Linked DNA regions of Rhinolophus ferrumequinum. The protein of the gene in region 1 binds, or shares a complex with, the protein of each later gene. Links are inferred from orthologs where the notes say so. Each region holds a gene or a part of one and is shown in the gene's direction. Other genes may lie near its edges.

What was found. The genes of interacting proteins can lie anywhere in the genome.
Region 2: the proteins of ARL1 (region 1) and ARFIP2 are in contact, whole or in part, in a crystal structure (PDB 4DCN), measured with the Homo sapiens proteins. The link is inferred for Rhinolophus ferrumequinum from reciprocal best matches to the Homo sapiens genes ARL1 and ARFIP2. Residues at the interface, in NP_001168.1 of Homo sapiens: Glu17, Arg19, Gln38, Ile46, Ile49, Gly50, Phe51, Asn52, Val53, Glu54, Thr55, Gln64, Trp66, Ile74, Tyr77, Cys80, Tyr81; in NP_001363487.1 of Homo sapiens: Phe205, Thr212, Lys216, Thr217, Asp220, Asp278, Ile281, Lys282, Phe285, Leu286, Glu288, Asn289, Lys292.
Region 3: the proteins of ARL1 (region 1) and GOLGA4 are in contact, whole or in part, in a crystal structure (PDB 1UPT), measured with the Homo sapiens proteins. The link is inferred for Rhinolophus ferrumequinum from reciprocal best matches to the Homo sapiens genes ARL1 and GOLGA4. Residues at the interface, in NP_001168.1 of Homo sapiens: Ile49, Gly50, Phe51, Gln64, Trp66, Ser73, Ile74, Pro76, Tyr77, Cys80, Tyr81, Ser83, Glu115; in NP_002069.2 of Homo sapiens: Thr2173, Glu2174, Glu2176, Tyr2177, Lys2180, Val2181, Glu2184, Glu2190, Thr2193, Lys2196, Val2197, Thr2200, Val2201.

What each region holds. Positions count from the first base shown.
Region 1 is NC_046293.1:17,760,997-17,768,150, forward strand, and holds the start of ARL1 (ADP-ribosylation factor-like protein 1), read left to right. Parts: upstream 1-4,134; 5' UTR 4,135-4,374; coding exon 4,375-4,378; intron 4,379-6,695; coding exon 6,696-6,833; intron 6,834-7,154. UniProt on the Homo sapiens protein: GTP-binding protein that recruits several effectors, such as golgins, arfaptins and Arf-GEFs to the trans-Golgi network, and modulates their functions at the Golgi complex.
Region 2 is NC_046294.1:45,324,960-45,332,521, forward strand, and holds the start of ARFIP2 (arfaptin-2), read left to right. Parts: upstream 1-4,549; 5' UTR 4,550-4,687; intron 4,688-5,452; 5' UTR 5,453-5,494; coding exon 5,495-5,593; intron 5,594-5,839; coding exon 5,840-5,936; coding exon of another isoform or gene 5,937-5,941; intron 5,942-6,597; coding exon of another isoform or gene 6,598-6,644; coding exon 6,645-6,763; intron 6,764-6,932; coding exon 6,933-7,154; intron 7,155-7,562. Other genes in the region: TIMM10B (mitochondrial import inner membrane translocase subunit Tim10 B), read right to left, coding at 3,693-3,869, 4,055-4,150, 4,351-4,389. UniProt on the Homo sapiens protein: Plays a role in constitutive metalloproteinase (MMP) secretion from the trans Golgi network. May have important functions during vesicle biogenesis at certain cargo subdomains, which could be predominantly utilized by secreted MMPs, such as MMP7 and MMP2.
Region 3 is NC_046300.1:14,969,627-14,977,033, reverse strand, and holds the start of GOLGA4 (golgin subfamily A member 4), read left to right. Parts: upstream 1-4,394; 5' UTR 4,395-4,650; coding exon 4,651-4,725; intron 4,726-7,407. UniProt on the Homo sapiens protein: Involved in vesicular trafficking at the Golgi apparatus level. May play a role in delivery of transport vesicles containing GPI-linked proteins from the trans-Golgi network through its interaction with MACF1. Involved in endosome-to-Golgi trafficking.

The sequences.
Region 1 (7,154 bases):
AAAACTTATACACAAATGTCCATAGCATCATCATTCAAATAGCCAAAAAGTGGAACAACCCAAATGTCCATCAACTGATGAATGGATAAACAAACATTGTATATACACACAATAGAATATTATTCAGCTTTAAAAAAAGAATGAAACTCTGACACATGCTGTGTGGATAAACCTTAAAAACATTAAGCTAGTAAAATAAGCCAGACACAGACTGATAAATATGGTACTATTACCCTTATATGAAATGTTTAGAATAGGCAAATTTATAGTGACAGAAAGATTAGAGGTTACCAGAGGCTAGGGAAGTGAGGAGTGGGGAATTATTGCGTAATGGGTATGGAGTTTCTGTTTGGGGTGCTGAAAATGTTCTGGAATTAGGCAGTGGTAATAGTTGCAAACCTTGCAAATATACTAAAAACCACTGAAACATACACTTAAAAATTGTGGATTTTATTGTATGTGAATTACATTTCAATTAAGAAAGAAACCCCTAAGTCCTAAAGAGAAATTCTGCTCTGTTACCAAAGTACACGTTATTGAAAGAAAACATTTGAAATGAAATGCATATCTTGATTTGTGAAAATCACATACCTAGTTATGTTTTTCAAATGCTCCTTAGGTTAAAATACAATTATAAATATACAGTAAGATAAGCCCTTTCTGAAGCTTATATTTATTACACATGTATTTATACTTATATTTTATAGGTTTCTGCTTCATGGAATAAAATGTGAGCAAGAGAATGCAGTGTCCACTAGGCAATGAATCACACACATCTGTTAGGTTTCAAATTTGGAAACTGCAGCAAATTCTTGAGGCATGGACAAGTGTTTGAAAATCAGTTTGCCAAATGTATAGATGATTTGGTAAATGGCTCAATTACAGAAGGCATCATAATCTAGTTACGCCAGGTGTGGAAGCCAAACGATAAGGGCTCTGTCCTGGTTCTGTTGCTTAGCTTGTTTCTACGTCTTCATCTGTAATGGAGATGGTTGACATTGAGATTCCTTCTAGTTTCAAAATTCTGAATTTACTTGATCTTATTGTGACTTTATAGTTAAAGGTGTTTTGAAATTGTTTTCCTTGCTTGGACTGCATTAAAACATTCACATTAAAAAGTTTAGTAAATTGTTATTGAACCATATAATTTGAAAAGGATTAAATTGTCCACTCAACTTTTAATAAATTGTACCAATTGATCTCGGTCTACTGAGAATTTGTTTGAAGCAATACCACCACCTGGTGGCTTCTTTTCAACGATGTCGACTTTCTTGTATGTGATAGTTTGGCCTCTCCTTTCTAATAAAGGCCAGTAGTTCAGAAATGCCTATTTTAGGAAACAAGTTAAAAAATATTGCATGCTATATGTTAAAGTTAACCAATGTTTATGGCATTGGCTGTAGAAACTTATTTTACAATTCAACAAATTATCTCATTAAATATTTGTTTAATGACCAAGTACAAGAATAAAATAGTGAACAAAATAAACAAAAACTACTTGCATTCATAAATGTTACATTCTAGTGAGAAGTAGATAATAAATAAATAATAAGCGTAATAAGTAAATAAATTATAACATGTTTAGTGGGAAGTTGTATTAAAAAATCAGGATAAGAGGAATGTTGGGTAGTTTACAATTTTTCCCCCCTTTCTTCCGCCTCCCCACACTCCCACTCGGTTCATGCCGTTGTTTCTCAGTCTAGTTGTGTAAGACACAGCTCTCTGGCCCATACTGGTATTATGAGCCTTGTAGTCCCCCTTGTCGGTAGGCAAAGAGGCTCACCAGGCTCAGCTCCAGGGAGAGCTGTTGTTCACAATCTTGGCTGTAGAGGGCACAGCTCACTGACCCATGTGGGAATCGAACCAGCGACCTCCATGTTAGGAGAACGGCACTTCAACCACCTGAGCCACCAGGCTGGCCCCCCAAATTTTTAAATAGGATGATATTTGAGTAAAGACCAGAGAGAGATGAGGTCAATTCTTCAGATATGCTTGTCTGAAGAATAAAATTCCTTAGACTTACAATCTAAATGTTTAGCTTTAATTCCAGCATGCTGCTATAATTCTGCTTCTTCAATTATTTCTTTTTTAGGAAACAAGAACTGTAATACCACGTCAATATTAATAGGAATGACTACATTTTGAAAAATAATGTTGCCCAAAAGATAAGGTACTTCTCCTGCAGAGTAATGGATATCTTTAGTTAGTATCAGAAAAAAAAAATGAAATGGTAGTTTTGTTAACTTATTTTTCACTACCTTAATGTGACATTTACACATTGAAAATTGTGTTCCCATGAAAGAACTACTCAAGTCTTAGGAATTGAGAATTGAGAGAAGGGAGGAGAAGGTGAAGGTGGGATGTACTCACTAACAAAAGATTAGCTAAATTTTTCTAGGCTGTTTATGGCTTTATTTATAAATTTGTCTCAACACTTTTTGAAGCCATATTCATTTTCTGTCTTAAACACCCTTGGGTTAATAAGTGCCTCTAAATGGTAGCAACTTCAATTTGTATATAGCACTTCAGTTTACACAGCATCCTCACGTATATATTATTTGCTTATTTGGTTCAGAACATACAGTATGAATATAAAGTTTAAAACATGTCTTTCCTTTTAGTTCTCATTTAAGGGGACTCTTTTTTCAGGGAACTATGTGCATTATACTGGAAACATAAATCCGACATGGACATAAGTGTTTTTTAATTAAATTGATTGGGGTGACAATGGTTAGTAAAATTACATAGGTTTCAAGTGTACATTTCTATAATGTATCATCTATATATCACATGTGTGCTCATCACCCAGAATCAGTTCTCCTTCCATCACCATATATTTGACCTACCCTTTCCCCTTATATTATCCTCCTACCCTCTTGACATGGACATAAATTTGAAGAAGCAATGGCCAAGATTTGCCAAGTGGTAGCAGCTAATCTTGGCTAAGAGAGGGATTGAAGGAAGATGAATAGGTGAGAAAAGTCAGTGGAATCACAGCACACTGAGGCCCAAGAGTTGAAAAACGCAATGCTTATGAAGCACAGCCTTAAAAAAGTCCCGGTGTTTAGGTGAAGAGTTGCTCAACTCTCCCCTTCTCAAACAACAAAACAAATGACAACACCACCACTCCCCCCCCCAACTTTTCCTTGCAAGAAAAATTTCTGTTAACTTATGATTTGGGAGCGGGAAGGGGAGATGAGAACAAAAGGCAAATCTAGTTCATGCTTATGCAACTGGAGAGGTCTGAAAATGAAGTAAAAAACAAAACAGATAGTCCATAAACTTCTGTTGAATGAACATCTCTATTATAAATAAAAATATAATATGCAAAGACTATATTTGGAAGGTGACCCAAGAAAGCATTCACAATGGTTACTTCTAGGGAGAACTGCGGGATTAGGGGCTAGGGATAGGTTTACTTTTCTGAGTATTTAAGAATTTTCAAGACACGCATGCTCAACTTTAAAGAAAAAAAAGAAAAAGAAATTCTAGGAGAATCCCTTCTCCCCATCCTTCAAGTATCGCTTCCTGCCCGCGACGTCACTGTCAAGACCTATATTACTTCCGATCGACGACCCTTGAGGAAACAGGCAGTGTGGGATCAGCCCGCCCACACTGCCAATCACAGAAAGGTGGTCAGGTGCACCGTCATGTGAAAGAAAGGTGTGTGTGTGGGGGGGGGGGGAGGCGCTCTAACGCTGACCCTGCAGGCCACTGCGATGCCAAAAATCTCTCTTTAGCGGCCTTAGGTGTCAGGATGATCTGCATTGGTGGCGGGAGAGTTGGGGGTGTCTTCTTCTTCTTATTGCGTAGTGCTATTGCCTTCTCGGAAAACGCACCCAGGCAAAGCTGGGTCGCCCCGTAGGGCGCTTCAGAACCCGCAACTCTTGCGACGCCGCCGCCTGCGCCCACGTCCTGTCAGGCTGCCGCACCGAAGCCTGACTAACATTCTTGGTTAGCGGATTCGCCGCTTTTTGGTGTCAGAATTTAAAAATGAAAATTCAAATTTCCCTGTTTCGGAAGCCCTCCTGTCAGAGAAAACAGAAGCAGGATAGATTTGGGGCCCTTGACCTTTTTTTCTCTTCCGGCTTCCACAGTATTTACACCCAGAGCGCGGCGGACCTGCGTCGAAAGCGACAACGCGGACGCACAGGCCGCCGTTCAGGCGCGCAGTCGTGACGGCTGCTCCGTCCCGCCCCCGCCGGGTGTCCGACGTGGAAGTTGCTGGCGGACCAGGCTTCCAAGGAAACCGCCTCCCAGCCGGAGCGGGAGGCCGAGGCGAGTGGAGGCGGCGGCATTCGGGCTCGAAAAAGAGTCGCTGCGGAGGCCGCGACCTGTCTCTGACGATCGACGAGGGCGGACAGGCGGCTCATCATGGGTGAGGGATCTGAGAAGGGCGCTTGGGCCGCGCTTGAGGGGGCAGCGGCCCAGGGCTGGGGTCCGGAGGAGGAGAGGGGCGGGCCTGGGAACCCCGGACTAGCCAGCTTCTCACCGGAGAAGTCGCTGAGGACTTAATTCACGGTGGCGCTTCCCCTGTGGGGATGGATCCTTCCTGGAGCGGTCGTCCCAGTCCTCGCTACTTTCTCCTTCATCCCAGCGGGGTCGACTGGGGTCACCGCGGGGCCGCACAGCCCTGAGACCTGGGAGCCCGGCTCCGAGTCCTTTCCCCTGACCATGAACTTTTCCCTCACCAGCTCAGACTCAGTTCGACTTGCTGGGCGGAGTTGGTCTTGCGAAGCTTGGCAACATGTCAGTCACTGGTTCGCTGAGGTTTCTTGGGCAAAAAATGAGATCTGACCCCATTGTGGAAACTCGATTCTCTTTCTCTCTGTCCCCTCCCCCCCAGTCGGTGGGACTGCATCCGTTTGAGAAATCCAAAGGGAGGTGTTGCTCATAATTTTGTTTGATAGCCATCTTGGCATTTGTCTGCTTATCTGTAGCTTGTGTAGAGAACAGAGTAAGATGGAGGAGGGAATGGGGAAGGGATTACTGGTCAGTGAATGAAATTTTAACCTCAATTTTTGGAGTGCTAATTGCGGGAACTACATGGCCATCACCAACATCAGGTAAAGCCGTCGTCTTCCCCGCTAGAGCCCAAAATGAAGGTGCAAGTCCTTTAACTTGTTCACAGCCCTCCGGATGAAGATGGAAATTCTTTGGCTTATTTAAATACCTCCACGGTTTTCTGGGGGGTTTGCTTCCTGCTCTGGAACACCACAAGCACTTTCCTGTTTTTATCCATAACCACCTTCAGTTTTGCTCTTTCGCCTTTTTTTTTTCAAACCTGTACTTTGTCAACATTCTACCCCGACTGTTACACTTCCCAAGGGTTCTCTAGCTGAGGGTGTGTTCATTTTTCCAGACTTGCAGCTCTTGATTGTGCCATTTCTTTGTCAAATAATCATGTATTGGTGAGTGGCATCACTTCTGTTGTCAGTTGTTTTTTATATTATTAAATGTAACTTTCAATCTAATGCTTTTGGTGGGAAAGAGTCAAGCCAAGGTGCTTTTTCTTTGTAATCGTAAAAGAAAGAAAAATTAGTTTCTTCTGTTGTAAAAAGAATAATAAAGACTAAATTTCCACCTTCCTTTCTATGAGGAGTTATTTTACGTAAGCACAATCATTTCTAGGAGGCCTGCTGAGACAAAGGATAATTTTTTAATTTTTAATTTTTTTTCCAGTTTTACTGAGGTTACGATTGACAAATAATTGAATGTATTTCAGGTATACAACATGATATTTTGATATATGTATACCTTGTGCAATAACTATACAATCAAGTTAATACATTCATCAGTTCACGTAGTGTATGGTAAGAACCTCTGGAGATCATTCTTAGCAAATTTCAAGTGTACACTACATTATTATTAACTATAATCACCGTGCTGCACATTGGTCTCCAGAACTTACTCATCTCTTAACAAAAGTTTGTGCATCTCTCCCATTTCCCTGATTCTCCCACATCTGGTAACCACAGTTATACTCTGTTCGCAAGGTGTTTTATATTACAGAGTACCTCGCATATAGGAAGCTTCCTGGAGATATTTCATGATGCATTGAATGTAGCGTTATTTTTTAAAATGAGTGTTCTATGAAGAATAGTTTTTATTCTGGGCCGCTATGTCTCAATTTCTTGTGCTAGTTATATTGCTTAACAAAAATCTCAATGATTAAAGGTGTAGTTCTGATGGTACTGATGCTATATAATAATAAATATTTAACATAATGTTTATTATAATGTAAATATATTATGTATAAACTATAATAATTATAATAATTGCTTTTCATGTGCGAGGACTTCATTGTCCCACTGTCATTCTGATTCGCCCTTTGGTTTTTAGGGGTAGTGGGGTGATCATGCCAAGCTATCCATATTCTTTTGATTAGAAAGTGAGCTCCATAAAGGCAGTGGTCATATTTCTCTTATTCTTTAGTGTATCTTCTGTGCTTTCCTGATACAATATCTAGGACATGGTAACCTTTCCTGATACAGTATCTAGGACATGGTAACAATCAGTAATTACTTGTTTGATGTTGAATAATGTATTTTAGTTGGGGCAAAAGTATGCATCTATGAATGGAGGAAAATATAATATTTAATTTGGTATAGCTTTGAAAAGGCAAGATTAAATGTTTTGTGGACCTAGTTCCGAAAATGATATTTAATACATTTTTGCTTTTATTATTTTTTTAGGTGGCTTTTTCTCAAGTATATTTTCTAGTCTGTTTGGAACCCGGGAAATGAGGATTTTAATTTTGGGATTAGACGGAGCAGGAAAAACTACGATTTTGTACAGATTACAGGTTGGAGAAGTCGTTACTACTATTCCTAGTAAGTGTTGGAATGATAAACTAATTGTAGGGGTTTCTGTTTTCCACCCAACATAACTTTATTTCTGAATGAATAATTCATATAATAAAGTAACTGATAAGGTTTGTAAACTTGTAGCATGAGCATATTATTGATAACACCTTTTTTTTTTCATAAACTGAGAGGCAGTTTGTTGTAATTTATGGACCCTGGTGCATGGCTAGGTTTTGCTGTTTAGAGCTATTTTAAACATTGGCTTGAGGTAAGACACTTAATCTCTTTGAGAGCCAGTATCTTTTTTGATAAAATGAAGACAATAAATATCCACTGGCTTTGAGGGAG
Region 2 (7,562 bases), on another chromosome or scaffold:
AGGAACTATTAGTAGTTAATAGTACGAGAGGCTACTGAGAAGGGAAGTAAGCCTGGACTTGATTCAGGGATATGAAGGCCATATCCTCAGTAAGCCAGGGTGACCTCAGTTAAGAACCATTTCAACAAAATAAAGCTTCCAGAAGTCAAAACAGGTCGGGTAGAAGAATGGGATGGAGAGGGCCAAAGTATCCAACTGTTTTGAGTTTAGCTGTAAAGTAGAAAAAAATTAGGATAGCTGGGGGCAGGGGTGAGGTACAGAGTGGTTTGTTCTATCAGGAGAGTCTTTTTTTTTTAAAAAAAGATTTTATTGGGGAAGGGGAACAGGACTTTGTTGGGGAACAGTGTTTACTTCCAGGATTTTTTTCCAAGTCAAGTTGTTGTCCTTTCAATCGTAGCTGTGGAGGGCACAGTTCAGCTCCAGGTCCAGTTGCCGTTGTTAGTTGCAGGGGGCGCAGCCCACCATCCCTTGCGGGAGTCCATCCGGCAACCTTGTGGTTGAGAGCCTGTGCTCCAACCGAGCCATCAGTGGCAGCTCAGCTCAAGGTGCTGTGTTCAATCTTAGTTGCAGGGGCGGAGCCCACTGTCCCTTGTGGGACTCAAGGAGTCAAACCGGCAACCTTGTGGTTGAGAGCCCACTGGCCCATGTGGGAATTGAACCAGCAGCCTTCGGTGTTAGGAGCACGGAGCTCCAACCGCCTGAGCCACCGGGCTGGCCCAGGAGAGTCTTTAGCAAGTTTAAACACTGACGAGAATTTAGTAAAGTGGGGAAAAATCAGAGATTCTAAAGGAAGGAAGAACTAAGATTCAGAGCAAAGGAATAGGCCTTAAGAGTAATAGGCCTTAAAAGTAATCACTACAGGAGAGGAAGAGAATGATGCAGATGTGGATGCGTGACCCAAGTTTGGTGGCCAGATGTTGTGAGAATTCCCAACTGACAACTTTTACTTTTGTCTATGAAGAAAGATATGATTATCTGCAAGAAGTGAAGAGAATGGTGTGTGTGTGTGGGGGGGGTAAGCTAATAAGAGACTTAAGAATATTGGTTTGAAATACTCATTTCAGCAAGCAGGGAGACGACTAGAAAAATCCAGTAGGATTATAGGGGCTGAGGCTCTACTTGAAGCTGGTAACCATGGATTCAGTGATATAAATCTGATCTGTAGTGATGTCCTTGGGCGGCTTTTAGTTCTCCAAATGCAAGTACAAAAGTTTCATTTTATCTAAGAGTCAAAAAAAGAGAGATGAGTTAAGCAAATGCAGCTTATTCCAAGAGGATCAGTAGAATTTAAGCCAAATAGGAATCTAAAGACAGGAAGGTGTTAATGGAGAGAAGGTAGAAGCAATGACCTAACTGCTCCAGTGAAATCAAAGACAGTAGAGGAATAGTTCCATAAATAAAGTGGGAAGAATATGGTAGATGAATAAGATGCAAGTAATAGTGTTTTGGAGATACAGCAGTGTGAGGCGAAGACAATGGCTAGGACACAACCATGGGAACGGGTGGCTAAGAGAATGAAAATCATTGGCGATTGGGTCAAAAGCTAAGAGACCAAAATACTGAATGGAGTGCCCATGTAAACATTAAGTATCGACGGGTAGATACGAAGACCAAGGGCTGGCTATTTAGTGGAAAGTAGAAGAGCAGTAGTTTCTAAGGACAAGTAGAGACGGTGGTACACTTGAATAGCCTCAAAGGAATCAGACTTTGCAAAGGAGTAGGCAATTATATTCTGAAGCCACCTGGCAGGAAAACCAACCCTAGAAAGGCAAAAAGCTGATTGGAGTTACTTTTCTCAATAGGTAAGTGTGCGTAAGATATGCTTCTAGTATCTTCTGGATTCTTGCTTCCTCATCTGTTAAGTGGGGATAATACCTTTTACTTGTAGTTTTTTCATAAAGATTAACTAAGATGAAGCATGACATATACCAACATCAGAACCTGTACAAAGTGGGGGCTCAATAGATATTATTTTGTGAGGTAAACTGGTATAGCAAAAAAAGTAAAAAACAAACAAACATGGATTTTAAAGGCAGATCGGTATTTTAATACAATGTCTGCTCATAGAGAATTTCAACTTCCCGATCTGTACAGGGAGAAAACGTGTGCTTTGAGGGTGACTGTAAGAAGTTATTTTTATTATTGTGGGTGCCAATTATCTATGAGCTTCCATTTCCTCTGTAAAAAATGAAAGGACATGGTCACCTGATGGGAGATAGCGGAGGGTGAGATGGGGGATTAAGGAGAGCAGTGAAGGTGTAAATAACTGCCTTGGTGATTAAGGAGAGCAAATAGACCGGAACCCACAAGGATTGCTTATTGGTAGTAAGAGCTTGGTTGAAGTTGGAGACCTTTAATATTTAGTCGCATTTATTATACAGCTGTGTTTTTCTCTAGCAATTTGAATGGAGGAACAGAAAAGATTAAACAGCTGGAACGATACAAAAAGGACACAAGGGCAGCAAGAAAATGGGGTGATGGAATGATAGGCCATTTATACTGCTGAATGCAGAAGTAAATTCCACAAGGGGGCAATAATGAGGAAAGAATGGATAGACTGGAATTAGATAGAAATCACAGAACAGGCACAGTGGGAACAACATGGGGTAGAGGGTAGAAGAGCTGGAATTAGAAGATTATAGATAAGCACTGAGACATTAAGGTAACATTAAAGAGCCTGAAGATTTAATTTTATCCCTTTTTTTCCCCATAATCACTACCATCTACTTCTCCCTTGGGTTTCTCTTCCTCAAGTCTGACAGTATTGCAGAATTCGGCCTAAGTTTTCCCCTTTCTTACTGCCCCTGAAGACAAGCACACAGACCTTCTTTGCTTAAAGGTTTTACTGCTCATTCAGGAAGACAGGAAATAGTGAGAAAGTAACAACTTGGGGAAATGGCTGAAGTTCCAGAACACCCCTGAATTCTTACAGGTTTCATCTCTGTCCTGGAGCTACTGATTTCCCAGTAGGTAGTGCCTAAAAACCCTGTGATTTCTTGATCTACTGTCCTTAGACATCTCCTCCTTTCCCTAAATCTGGCAGAATTCCTTCCTGTAAAACACAGTCCACAAGAAAATAGCTATAAATGAATGCACACCTGGCTCACAAGTGAGCCATTAAAGTCAGATTTATGTGAAGAAGAGCTAGACAGAGCTCCCATTTTCTCTGTCATCTGGGCAGGAACCAATTTCCCGTTGCTATTACCAACCTTAAAATTGTACCCACAGACCTTGCTTTAACCAGGTGCCTGGGAATGCTAAGGTTTGCGTCCATACAAAGAAGGCACTTTCTCTGCAGACAGGGCTAAAGCCAGCAGATATTCACTAACTGACAGAATAAAAGATGATGCTAATAAAGTAGGCAAAGCTTCCCTGCCCAAAATATAAACCAAACAGAATAAAAGCAGGTTTATTAACTCTTCCTGGAGCCACAGTACCCAGCTCTCAGGCAAGCCCTCACTTTCTATATACAGGCTGGACCCAGCCCAAGCAAGGTCCCTGGAAAGGGGTTCATCTCCTGATGGGGAGAAACACATGGGTGGGGATAAGCTTCAGGAGAACACAGTCTTTGTCTCGTTCACTGCTGTGTTGCATGGCCTCAAATAGTGCATGACACATAGTAGGCACTCAGTCCACTGGCTCCTTCAATTTGAGGGGCCATCCAGTGCCTCCCTTCCTGGGGTTGGGGATGGCTAGCTGCCTGATGGCGAGGTTCCAGGCTGTTCAGGAGCAACACCTGGCACAGCTGAGGCAGCCTCGTAGTCTGCGATGCGGCGCTGTACCAGGGCAGGCATGAGCTGCACATAAGCAGCCATGAGGCGATGGTTGGAATGGATCAGCTTCCCAGCACAGCTATGCAGACAGGCTTCCTGGAAGGAAGACAGGGTGGAAACAGGGGCCAAAGGTGTCCTGTCAGATCCGTTTCCTTCCTTCCCATCTCCAACCTAGGGGCGAGGGACATGGAAAGGCCCTGGCCAAAGGCAGTGGAGGAAGGAAGGAAGCAGATTACGGTTAACTCTGAGGATGAAGAGTAATCCCCTACTCGGTCCCCCACCTCCTCGGCATCCAGGGCTCGGTGGTGCAGGCTGGGTACGCAGCGCTGGAAGCAGAGTTCCGTCATCCGATTGTAGACCAACAGGAAGTCCCGCAACTAGGAGAGAAGGGGACCAAGAACTCAGCTATAAGGGGGCCCACACCTGAATTCAAGGCCGCGCCTTGAAGTTTACCAGGACCGCGCACCACAGCCCGATGTCCCTAGCCCTCGGATCCCTAGCTTTTTGGGGTTCCCGCCATGCAGACGGCGAGGACAGTTGAATGTAGGGCTTTGAAGCCACATGAGCTGCCACTCACGTTTCTCAGCTGCTGCTGCTGCTGCTGCTGCTGCTCCATCCCGCCACAAGCTCACGTCCTGCGTCACTTCCGTTACAGCTTCTCGGTAACGCCCCGGAAGTTATCTGTCGTCCATCCCCAGGGACTGAGGGGTTGACTCAAGGATCGTCCTGCCCCCGGCTGCTAACGTCACCTCCGCCCTTATAATCTGCGACGTGGCTGGCTTCTTCTGCCCGGGAGAGGACGTCACTTCCTCCGAGTCCCTGACCTGCTGCTAGGATCGCGACGGGAGCTGGAGCCCGAGGTCCCCCCGCGGCCCGGGCCTGGCGCCCTGAGGGGAAGAGCGGCCTGTCCTCAGGTGAGAGGGCCATACTTGGGCAAGGGGAAGTTGAATGCATGAACCTGTCTTGAGGGCAAGATACCTCTGAGCCTGGGAAAGGATGAGGACACACCTGATGCCCAGGTGTATTGGGGTGGGGGGTGGGGGAAACACACCTAGGGAAACATAACCGACTTTGGAAGCCATCACCTATGTCCTGGGGAAAAGAGGCTTTCCCAGAGGCTGGGAACATAAACCAACTGAATCAACTAAGGCCTGGTGGGAAGAGCCCGAGGAAGAGAAGGTGCATGGTATGGAGAAGGGGGGAACGGTCTGAAGGAAAGGGGAAGAAACACTAAAGGGGTGTTGAAAGGCTAAGCGATGGAGAACATACTGAGCCTTGGAAAGGGGTTCATCTCCTGATGGGGAGAAACACCTGGGTGGGGGTGAGCTTCAGGAGAACACAGTCTTTGTCTGGTTCACTGCTGTGTTGCACGGCCTCAAATAGTGCATGACACATAGTAGGCACTCATTAAATGTCTGTTGAATGATCGAATGCATGAATAATCATCGGAGTCCTGGTGAAGTTGGAGAGTCATGAGAAGACACCTGAGCATGTGTAAAAATATGCACCTTGGAGGGAAGAGGTACATATACTCGCACTATCTGAGGGAAGGAGTGGTAGCCACACTCCAGAACACTCTACCCCTGGGACAACCTCTAAAACCTCAGAAACGGTAGGGGAGACATTTCTCTTCTGTGGTCCTGGCCAATTTCCAGAACTATCTGTGTTGGGCTTTGCAGGGCGCTGGGGTGGAGACATTGACTCCAGTCCCTTCCCTAGCCATGACGGACGGGATCCTAGGGAAGGCAGCTACAATGGAGATCCCCATCCATGGGAACGGCGAAGCTGGGCAGCTTCCTGAGGATGATGGGCTGGAACAGGTGCATCTGTTTGATTCTTCTCCTTATTGTTCAATTTAGGAATCCCAACTCATAAACCCTGGCCTATTCCAGTAGCCTTTCCTAACTTATCTAACTCCCTTCTTTTTACAAATTTTTGTTCTGATTCTGTGCAGACTTCCTTTGTGTGCTCTCTCTGTGATGCTTCAATCCAAGTTTGTTCTCACCCCCAAAATGCTTCAGCTGTCCCTATGTTCCTGAAGCCCCCCCCTCTTCTCTGGCCTATAGGACCTCCAGCAGGTGATGGTGTCAGGACCCAACCTCAATGAAACTAGCATTGTGTCTGGTGGCTATGGGGGCTCTGGTGATGGACTCATCCCCACAGGTATGAATGATCAGAACAGGACAGGAAGCTTGAGTGGAGAAGGGGAGAGGAATGGTTCTGGGGAGCATAGGATATGTGTAAGAAAGCTTGAGTTACCTCTGGAGATCTTGGAAACCTCTGCTAGTGTGAATCCTGTGGACTGTCTCAGCCCAAGACCAGTTCCCAGGGTTGTTCAACTGCCTCTACTTGCCATTTCCCTTGAGATGTGCCATTTCTCTGCTGCTACCACCTAAGTCAAGTTAAGAACTCTGTGCTCTGGAGCTTGGGCTGATTTGGAGATTTATGAGGCTTTTCAGAGTTTTACTTTAGACTCTAAAGTTTAGAGGGACAAGCAGCCCTGAATCTCACACGGACTAGGGTTCCACATGGGAATGTCAACTAGGTTGCCTGTTATCAGGACCCACCATCCTTGACCTCCCGCCCCACACTCATCTTATTTTCTTGTTTCCTCTGCCCCTGTACACCAGCAGCTCCCTCTTCCCTCCCCCTCCAACCCCACCACCACCTCAGAAGGAGGCCAGATGTTTTTGGGATTTGGGTCTCAGGGCACAAGGTATGAGCTGCTCCTAGTAAGTAGGAGAATCTGTCTCCAGCTTCTGCTCCCTCAGGGAAGTCATGTTCAGGTGCTGGGAAGGAAGTATGGGTGGAGCCCCAGAGGCGTCTGGTTGTATCTGAGAGAGGCTAGAGTCAGAGAACTTGGTCCTTTAGGGTCTGGCCGCCATCCATCTCACAGTGCCACTCCTGCTGGCTCCGGAGATGAGGTGGCTCGGGGCATCGCTGGAGAGAAGTTTGACATCGTCAAGAAATGGGGCATCAACACATACAAGGTGGGCTTCAAGCAGCTCTCCCTTCCCCCAAACTCCCTCTGGGTACCTTTTGGCCTTCTCCCAGATCCTAATAGTCCATCTATATTCCAGCCTGGGTATGCTGGGGTAGATACCTGTTCGGGGAGCAGGGTGCTAGGGTCTCTGACCTATTCCCCCACTTCCCAATCAGTGCACAAAGCAGCTGTTATCAGAGCGATTTGGCCGAGGCTCCCGGACTGTGGACCTGGAGCTAGAGCTGCAGATTGAGTTGCTGCGTGAGACGAAGCGCAAGTATGAGAGTGTCCTGCAGCTGGGCCGGGCACTGACAGCCCACCTCTACAGCCTGCTGCAGACCCAGCATGCACTAGGTGACGCCTTTGCTGACCTCAGCCAGAAGTCCCCAGAGCTTCAGGTGCCTCAGCCAGGCCAAAGAAAGTTGGGGGGGACTGGGCCCAGGCCCTCCCAGGCAGTCACCCCTCAGCCTCCCTCCCTCCATCCCTCCTGCAGCCCAGAGGGAGAATCCCTCCAGGGTGAGCCCAGCCCTGTCCCCAGCAGCACTCACCTGTGGAGGCAGCCTAAGGGTTTGTACGGAGGTCCAAAGTCGGAGGGGCAGGGGGCGGGGGCACACTAGGTGCCTCACAAGTAACCCTTCTCTGCATTGGCGAGAATGCCTTTGGTGCTCAGCCTAATCAGAGCTTCTCCCTTGCCTGCTGCACTGGCTTTCCTTGTTCTAGTCCTGTGAACTTATCTGAGAACCTCACCCCCACATTCCCACCCCAGGCATCCCCAGGGTGGCCCCACTAACTTTCTGGCTAAGAAA
Region 3 (7,407 bases), on another chromosome or scaffold:
AATGGCAAAGCTGGAATTTGAGCCCAGCCAGTTGAGCTTAATGTCTGTGTGCTTATTCATTATGATACCTAGTCTTTCCACACCACCCACACATCTTCAATATGAAGCAAGTGTCTTTTTTTTTTTTTTTAACCACAACACAAGCAGTATCCAAATGTTTGCAAGAGTGAATTTGTTGATTTAGGAGTCTGATTATCAAGTAGTTACTTAATAAGGAGGAAGGAATTTGACACCTCACCTCCATTTCATCAACTCTTCTTTGTTACCAAGAAGCCTCATTCTTGAAACAAATTGTTTTTTTCTCAGCCCAGTATTAAGTTTTTCCTTCAAATGATTCCTCTCATTAAATTGTTGAGTCATCATGTAAACATCCCTAGGACATGTCATGTAAACAATTATAAAACTGTTCAAAATTAAATTGAACTGCTTTTAAAAAAAAATTGAGCAGGGTGTGTTTCAGAGGAGAGCCAGAACTGTTGAACATATTACAGTTGGAGACCAGGATAAAGGGCAAGAAGGCCTGAGGTCAGTTTCCAATTCTGTAACTGAGATCATATGACTCTGGGATAGTCATTTTTTTTGCTCTTCTTTGTGACTATTTATCAAACAAGCAAAAGCAATAATAATGAAACCTCTCACTTTTCCATAGTTTACTTACTTTCTGCCTACAATGGGAATTAAAAACAAAGATACAAAAAAAAAAAAAAATTCCTTAAAGCAAAGACTCCAGGATGAAAAAGTAGGCTAAATTCCTGGGGGAGTCATAGTCTAAGTTTAGACATTGTGTAGACCTTTCTTTCACGAGAGGTTTTTCCAACGTTTTCCAACTTTATATAGCCATACTGTTTTTTTGCAAAAGTGATGGTTTAGTAGTGGATGATTTCAGTTTGGGACATGTTGTATTTGAAGTGCCTCTGGGTCATTAAGTTGTCTAGTAGGCAGTTGGATGTATTAAGACTAAGTAATTCTGCAGAAATTTAGTGGCTGGCTCTGTACTGGGCACTGGCTAAATTGCATGAGAGTCATGGTTCTCGTCTCCCCAAACGTGAGAGCTTAATGGAGATGCTGTAATCTGGAGCTCAGGGGAGAGATCTAGGCTGGAGCTGTCAACATATAGAGGGAAAGTGTTACAAGTAAGAAGAGAAGGAAACTCTGATAATTTGTAAGTGTCATTTATGAGCTATACTCTATGCATATCATCTCATTTCAGCTTCACAACATTCCTGTGAATAGTATTACAATGTTACAGATGAGGAAAACGAAGTACAGAGTTGAGACTCAGAGATCACAATCTGGCTTTTGGGCTAAATTTTATTTGAAGTACTGTTTTGCTTCAATGACTTAAAATTCCTGGAGATGTGTTTGTACTAGATGTGTTTGTATCTAGTTTATTACTTTCCCTCACCCTCCACTGTCTTATACCATATGTGCTAACTCATAACCTTTCTGCTTCCTTCAGGTATTTGACTTTGTACTATGTGGTTTATCTAAGTGCCAAAGATGACAGGGCTAGAAAATATCTGACTCGTATTTGAACCCTAATCTGGGTGACATCAAAGTCCATGCTCTTTACTGCTGTGCTATACTTCTGTGGATGGCAGGGATCGGGATTCTTGATGAGGGCAAAGAAAGTGTGTTGTGTGGTGATGCAAAAGGGCCAATCACCAGAAAAGAAGGAAATCAGCATTCAAGATTTCAGCTACAATTGGTTCTTTGGCTAGAAGCCTTTCCTGACATACTATTTTCTTATGTAAGGCTTGGAAAGGAACTTCATACTACTATGTAATGCTGTTTTCTGAGGCGTAGTCCCTAGTGATCATGTTATTCTGAACATTTTCTGAAATATAGACGTAGAATGGCATCTGCCATTGGAAGGGGTGAAAGAATGATAATCAGTTTTGGTCTATAATTATGAATATTGCTTCTTTGTGTTTAATAGGAACACATGAGTTCCTCTGGGGAACTAAATTCATGAGGCCTCTGGTCATGAGGATTGGGTGCAAGCCCATTTCAAACGTCCTTCCATTCTGCAGTGAGGTGTGCCAGTCTGTGAGCAGCTGGTAGAAGATGAGTTCAAAATAGTAACATGGAATATTGGGGCAAGCAGAGTGCTCTGGCTGGGTTAATGCAGGACTCTGAGAAGTGCACCAAGGCAAGAGCCTTTAGCAGGTGGTGATTTGTATTCAGGAGTGGCTGAAGAATTAGAGTAAGGACAGGTTTAATTAAGAACAGACAATGAATGTTAATTTGCAGAGGCCTGAAGCTGAATGACGGTAACTGTGAGGAGGCTAGCTGTGTCAACAAAATTGTGGTTAAATGTGATGATTTCAACCCTGTCCCCCTGTCCTCTCTTTTTTTGTGTCCTAGCAAGGCTTTTTTTCACATAATTAGTCCTTTTCTGGCCTTTTTCTTTCTCTAAGAGATGCCTCAAATTTCTTCTTATTTATTTGTTTATTTTTTATTATGGACTGCTTTGATAGGGCCCATATGTATGTATACACATACACATAAATACATACCTACATACATACATACACACGAAGGTCTGACAATTAAGTTCGCGGACTTGTTTCAACGATGTTGCTAATCTTTTTTGATATCAGAGGGATTATTCATTATGAATTTGTACCAACTGGACAAACAGTTAACCAAGTTTACTATTTGGAAGTGCTGAAAAGGCTGTGTGAAAAAGTTAAATGACCTGAACTTTTCACAAAAAATTGATGGTTTTTGCATCACGACAATGCACCAGCTCACATGGCACTGTCTGTGTGGGAGTTTTCAGCTAGTAAACAAACAACTATAGAACACCCTCCTTACTCCCAATGACTTCTCTTTTTACCAGAAGATGAAATATGGAAGATATTTTGATGACATTCAGGACATCAAAGGTAATACGATGACAGCTCTGCTGGCCATTCCAGAAAGAGTTCCAAAATTGCTTTGAAGGGTGGGCTAGGTGCTGACATTGGTGCATAGCTTCCCAAGGGGAGTACTTCAAAGGTGACCATAGTGATATTCAGCAATGAGATATATAGCACTTTTTCTAGGATGAGTTCGTGAACTTACTTGTCCGACCTTGTAAGCATAAATATAATATTGGCAACCTTTGATTTATAATGTGAATGTAGGGGTGACAATGCATATCAGGCATCTGGAGTCTGGGAGCAGCTGAAAGCTTACTGACGTTTATAGTCTTGAGAGAGAAAGACTCCTAAGAAGAAAGGAAAGGAAAGAGAAAGAGAAAAAGAAAGAGAAAGAGAAAGGAAGGAAGGAAGGAAGGAAGGCAAGAAGGAAAGAAGGAAAGAAAGAAAAGAAAAAAAGAAACTAGGTGTTCACTATGAGGTAAGGGGACTTATCCCAGTTGTCAATTCAGGGTTCAGAGCAGGCCCTGCTCGGGCTCTAATACATTTAGGGATCAGGCTATGGAATCTTAGAGAGCAACTTGCTCCTATAATTGCTAGTAAATACAATTTGTTAAAATGTGGAGATGAGTATACATACTGTCAGATTCTGATACCTGAGGCCATGTGAAGCCATTTGGTATAGACGTAGGTTGATGACATAGATTTGAGGGGTCGCAGATGACCAAAGTGCAGGGTGTTGAATGAATCAGGCACTTAAACATTAAACTCTCTGAGGATGATTGCAGGTACTAGGGATAAATGTGGACTCTTTAGGAATCTGTGTCTCCCCCCCCCCCCCCCGCCCCCTCCGCGGGCCCTGAATTCTTTTAACATCACCAAGGAACTGGACTTAGCGTGATAAAGATTGTTGAATGAATAAAGTATGTGATAATATATGATTTCAATGAAATTAAAAAACAAAGGCAGATGTCCAAATAATTGAGGTCTTTACGATATCGGCCTGTAACACCGGAGCCCGGGAGCCTCCTGTCAAGGAAGCGGGGAGGGTCTCTCTGGGGAGCAGCAGGAGTACTACGTCGGTACTGGAGACACAAAATCCTCACCACGGACCCCGAATAAAAGTACACTATCCTTCAGAGCCCACGGCAGGTTCCCTGACGGCTCCTTCTTCCATGCCCGACGCTCACACTTCGCGGTGGGCCTGCCAGCCGAGCCACAGGAGAGCACCGTCCCCGTGTGACTTCGCAGAGCCGACGCCCAGGTGTCCGTCCGTGGAGAGCTCGCAGCAGCGCGGGCGCCCGGCTCTGAGTCCAGCCCTGCGCGCAATGGGTTTGGGCCCCGCAGATCCCTGCGCCGCCCTCCGCGCTCCGGCGTTCGGGAGCGACGGCCCGAGCGCGCATGTGCCGGCCAGACGGGGCGCTTGTCCCCTCCCGCGCCCCGTAGCGCTCCGCCGGCGAGCTCCACGTAGGCCGCGCAGGCGCCCTTGGCACACGGCTCACCTGCTGCCGTTGTCGCCGCCGCCGCCGCCGCCGCCGCCGCCGCCGCTGCCCGGGCTGGATGGGGGGCCGCCAACCAGTGCCACCCAGAAGGAAGAGACGCGGCGGCGGCGACGCCGACACCTGCAAGACGAGAGTCCCGATCTGCCCGCGAGCCCCAGGAGCAGGCGGCGAGGCCCGGCCCCCGCGGTCCCTGCTGTAGAGAAGCTGCGGTCGCTGCCGCGGCCGGGTCTGCCTGGGCACTCCCCCCTCAGGTCTCATTCACACTCAGGACCCCGCGCTGCGCCATGTTCAAGAAACTGAAGCAGAAGATCAGCGAGGAGCAGCAGCAGCAGCTCCAGCAGGCGCTGGCCTCTCCTCAGGTACTATGGCTGCCTCTTCCCTACTTCCCAACACCCCTGGACCCTGGCTCCGGGGCAGAAAGGAGGGGTGGTTCTTCGTGATCCTTGAGCTCTAACCTGAGGATTCCCGCGTACCCCGCGCTGGGGACGACCTCAGGTTGGCTCCTGACCCGGGTCCCCATCCCAAAAGTCCGTTCTGGAAAATGGCTGGGGGTGGCTGGCTCCTTCGTGATGGCTGACCTCTGTGACAGTTTTCCCCTCTGCCGGCCTGACCCCGGCCTGAGAATAAGTGGGAGGGGCTCCGATGTTGCACGATTTTTGACCCATATCGAAGGTTTCCCCACCCAGCCGAGACCCCAACTCAGGAGTGAGGGCAGGATGGGGAAACCTGGGTCCCTTGTAGTGTCTGACCTCTTGACTAAAGCCCCGTCTCCCATCCCGGATCCGAGACTGAGTACCGAGGGGTCGGTCAGGATCCCGCAGGACCTCCGACGCGTGACTGAAGTCTAATTCCACACCCTGGTTCAGGGGTGAGGGCCATGGGTCGAGCCATTTCAGGCGAGGCTGCTTGCAAGAGCGTGGGGACCTGAAAGCGGTGGCAGCGTGGCCGGCGTCCAGCCCTGGAGGCTGTCACGAGTTAGGCACTTAGCATAACTTGTTTGATCCCGGGCTGGCACCGGGGCTGACACTCTGAGGCCGGGCTGGGGTTGTGCCTGTCTCCAACCCGGCGTGTGCTTTTTCAGGACTCTTGTTACGTGGTTTTTCACCAATGCTGTTGCTTCAGGAAATGACAGTTTCCAGGAAAAAGGGGGCGTGTTAGTGTTAATTTAAAGAAAACAGTAGCTTAAGCACCAATGGATGTGTGTTTTGGTGCTGGTGGCACGTGGTGTCTTCAGGGAAGATGAGGGCTTCTGCGAAATTTCTTCCCGAGCTTTCTGAATCTCAACACATTGAGCAAATCTCTCTCTCAATTTTAGTTTCCACAAGGAAATCTGAATTTTGACTAAGTTGGAGGCAGCTCTAATACATTTTTTAACATAACATCTTATATAACTTTTAAACAACGAGACGTCTAACGAACAACTATTAAACAGCTATTGCACTGAGTTTGTTCTGAACTATAAATTGAAGTTATTCTCTTAAAATTTAAAGCTCGAGTAGAGTAAAACAGTGCTTGAAATATATTGGAACATGACAGTGAAGGCTTGTTTATTCTCCCAAGTGAAATGTAAATAGTGGCTAAAATTTAAATAGTAAATGTTTTACTCTTTGCACCATTTACTGCAGGCTTTTCTGACTTTACAAAACAGTTATTTAAGAAACAAAAAACTTAAAAGTGAGGTAGAGATGAGGAATGTGGGGACCCGGGCATGTTAGTGAATGTAAGGCACTTACATTTAGGAACGTATAAAACATCATTGATCCAGTCTTCTACCTCTAGAAATTTATTCTAAGAACATTTAGGATGTATTCAAAGATTTAGCCACATGGATTTTCATTTCATGTTGTTTTAATGGGTAAAAGTAGGCTAAAAAATGTTTAACAATAGAAATAGAAAGTTGTATCCGGTAGTCAAAATGCCATCATTTATTGGGTTCTTACTATGTGCCAGGCATTTTGCTTAGTATTTTTACATGGATTATTTTATTTAATTGTCACATAAACCTACGAGGTAGATAATCTTTTATAGATGAAGGAGTGTGAGGTTCAAAGAAGTTCAGTTGCCGAATATCACACTGCTAGTGTTAGAGCCTACAGAAAAGTATTATTAATATGCTAATATTAATGTTAAGAAAAATTAAAAAGCATGTAATCTCAGTTTTGTGGAAACAATATGTATATAAATACTTATATACAGACATAGTAAAAGTATTTTAAGAAGATTATGCTTGAAGGTGCTGGTGAGATATTATGAGTATTCTTTTTCTTATTTGTAATGTTTAGTTTTTCTTCATGAAAATTAATTGCTTTTATATACGTTAACAAAAAGACGGTCTTTAGAACAATGATAAAAAAGCTAGTTACAAACTAACACATTAGAGCTCCCAGGTTTGATATGTTGATGCCTCTGGTGAGACTATGTCTAGATCAAATAAAATCACTTTGTGTACAAAAGAATTAAAACATTTCTCTTTGATATTATGTTATACTCGTATTTATCCAGAATGCAAAAGGAAATTGTTAGCGATCAACAACTGATAGAAACTTGATTCTCTTCTGGTCTCAGACTCTCAGCTATTCCGAACACTGAACATTGCAGATGAGTAGTTCTGGATCATTGTTCTCAGTTAAGGATTTCTTTCATGCATGAATTAGAAAAAAAACACAAAAACACCTTTTTTGATGATAATCCTTTTTGCAACAGATTACGCAAATGCTTGTTTTCTTAAGCAAAGGATTTTGAGTTTGTATATTATCATTTCTTCACTTTGAGTATAAATTGTTTTGTGTTGAAGGTACCATGCCCTCAAGAATTTAATGGGGTGTGAAAGGCAGTTTCCTTTTACCCACTCAAGAGGATTTATTTGTTTGTTCTTGGTCTAGGTTGGAAATTTCCCTTCAGACCTTTGAATGTATTTCTTCTCTATCTCTGTGGCAGATGAGAAGTCTAATTCCAAACCTTTTCTTTCTTCATTGGTAGTTAACCTCTTTGAATCATCTCTTTTCTGCCTTGATGTTAGAAAATTTCTAGTTTTTTTCCCT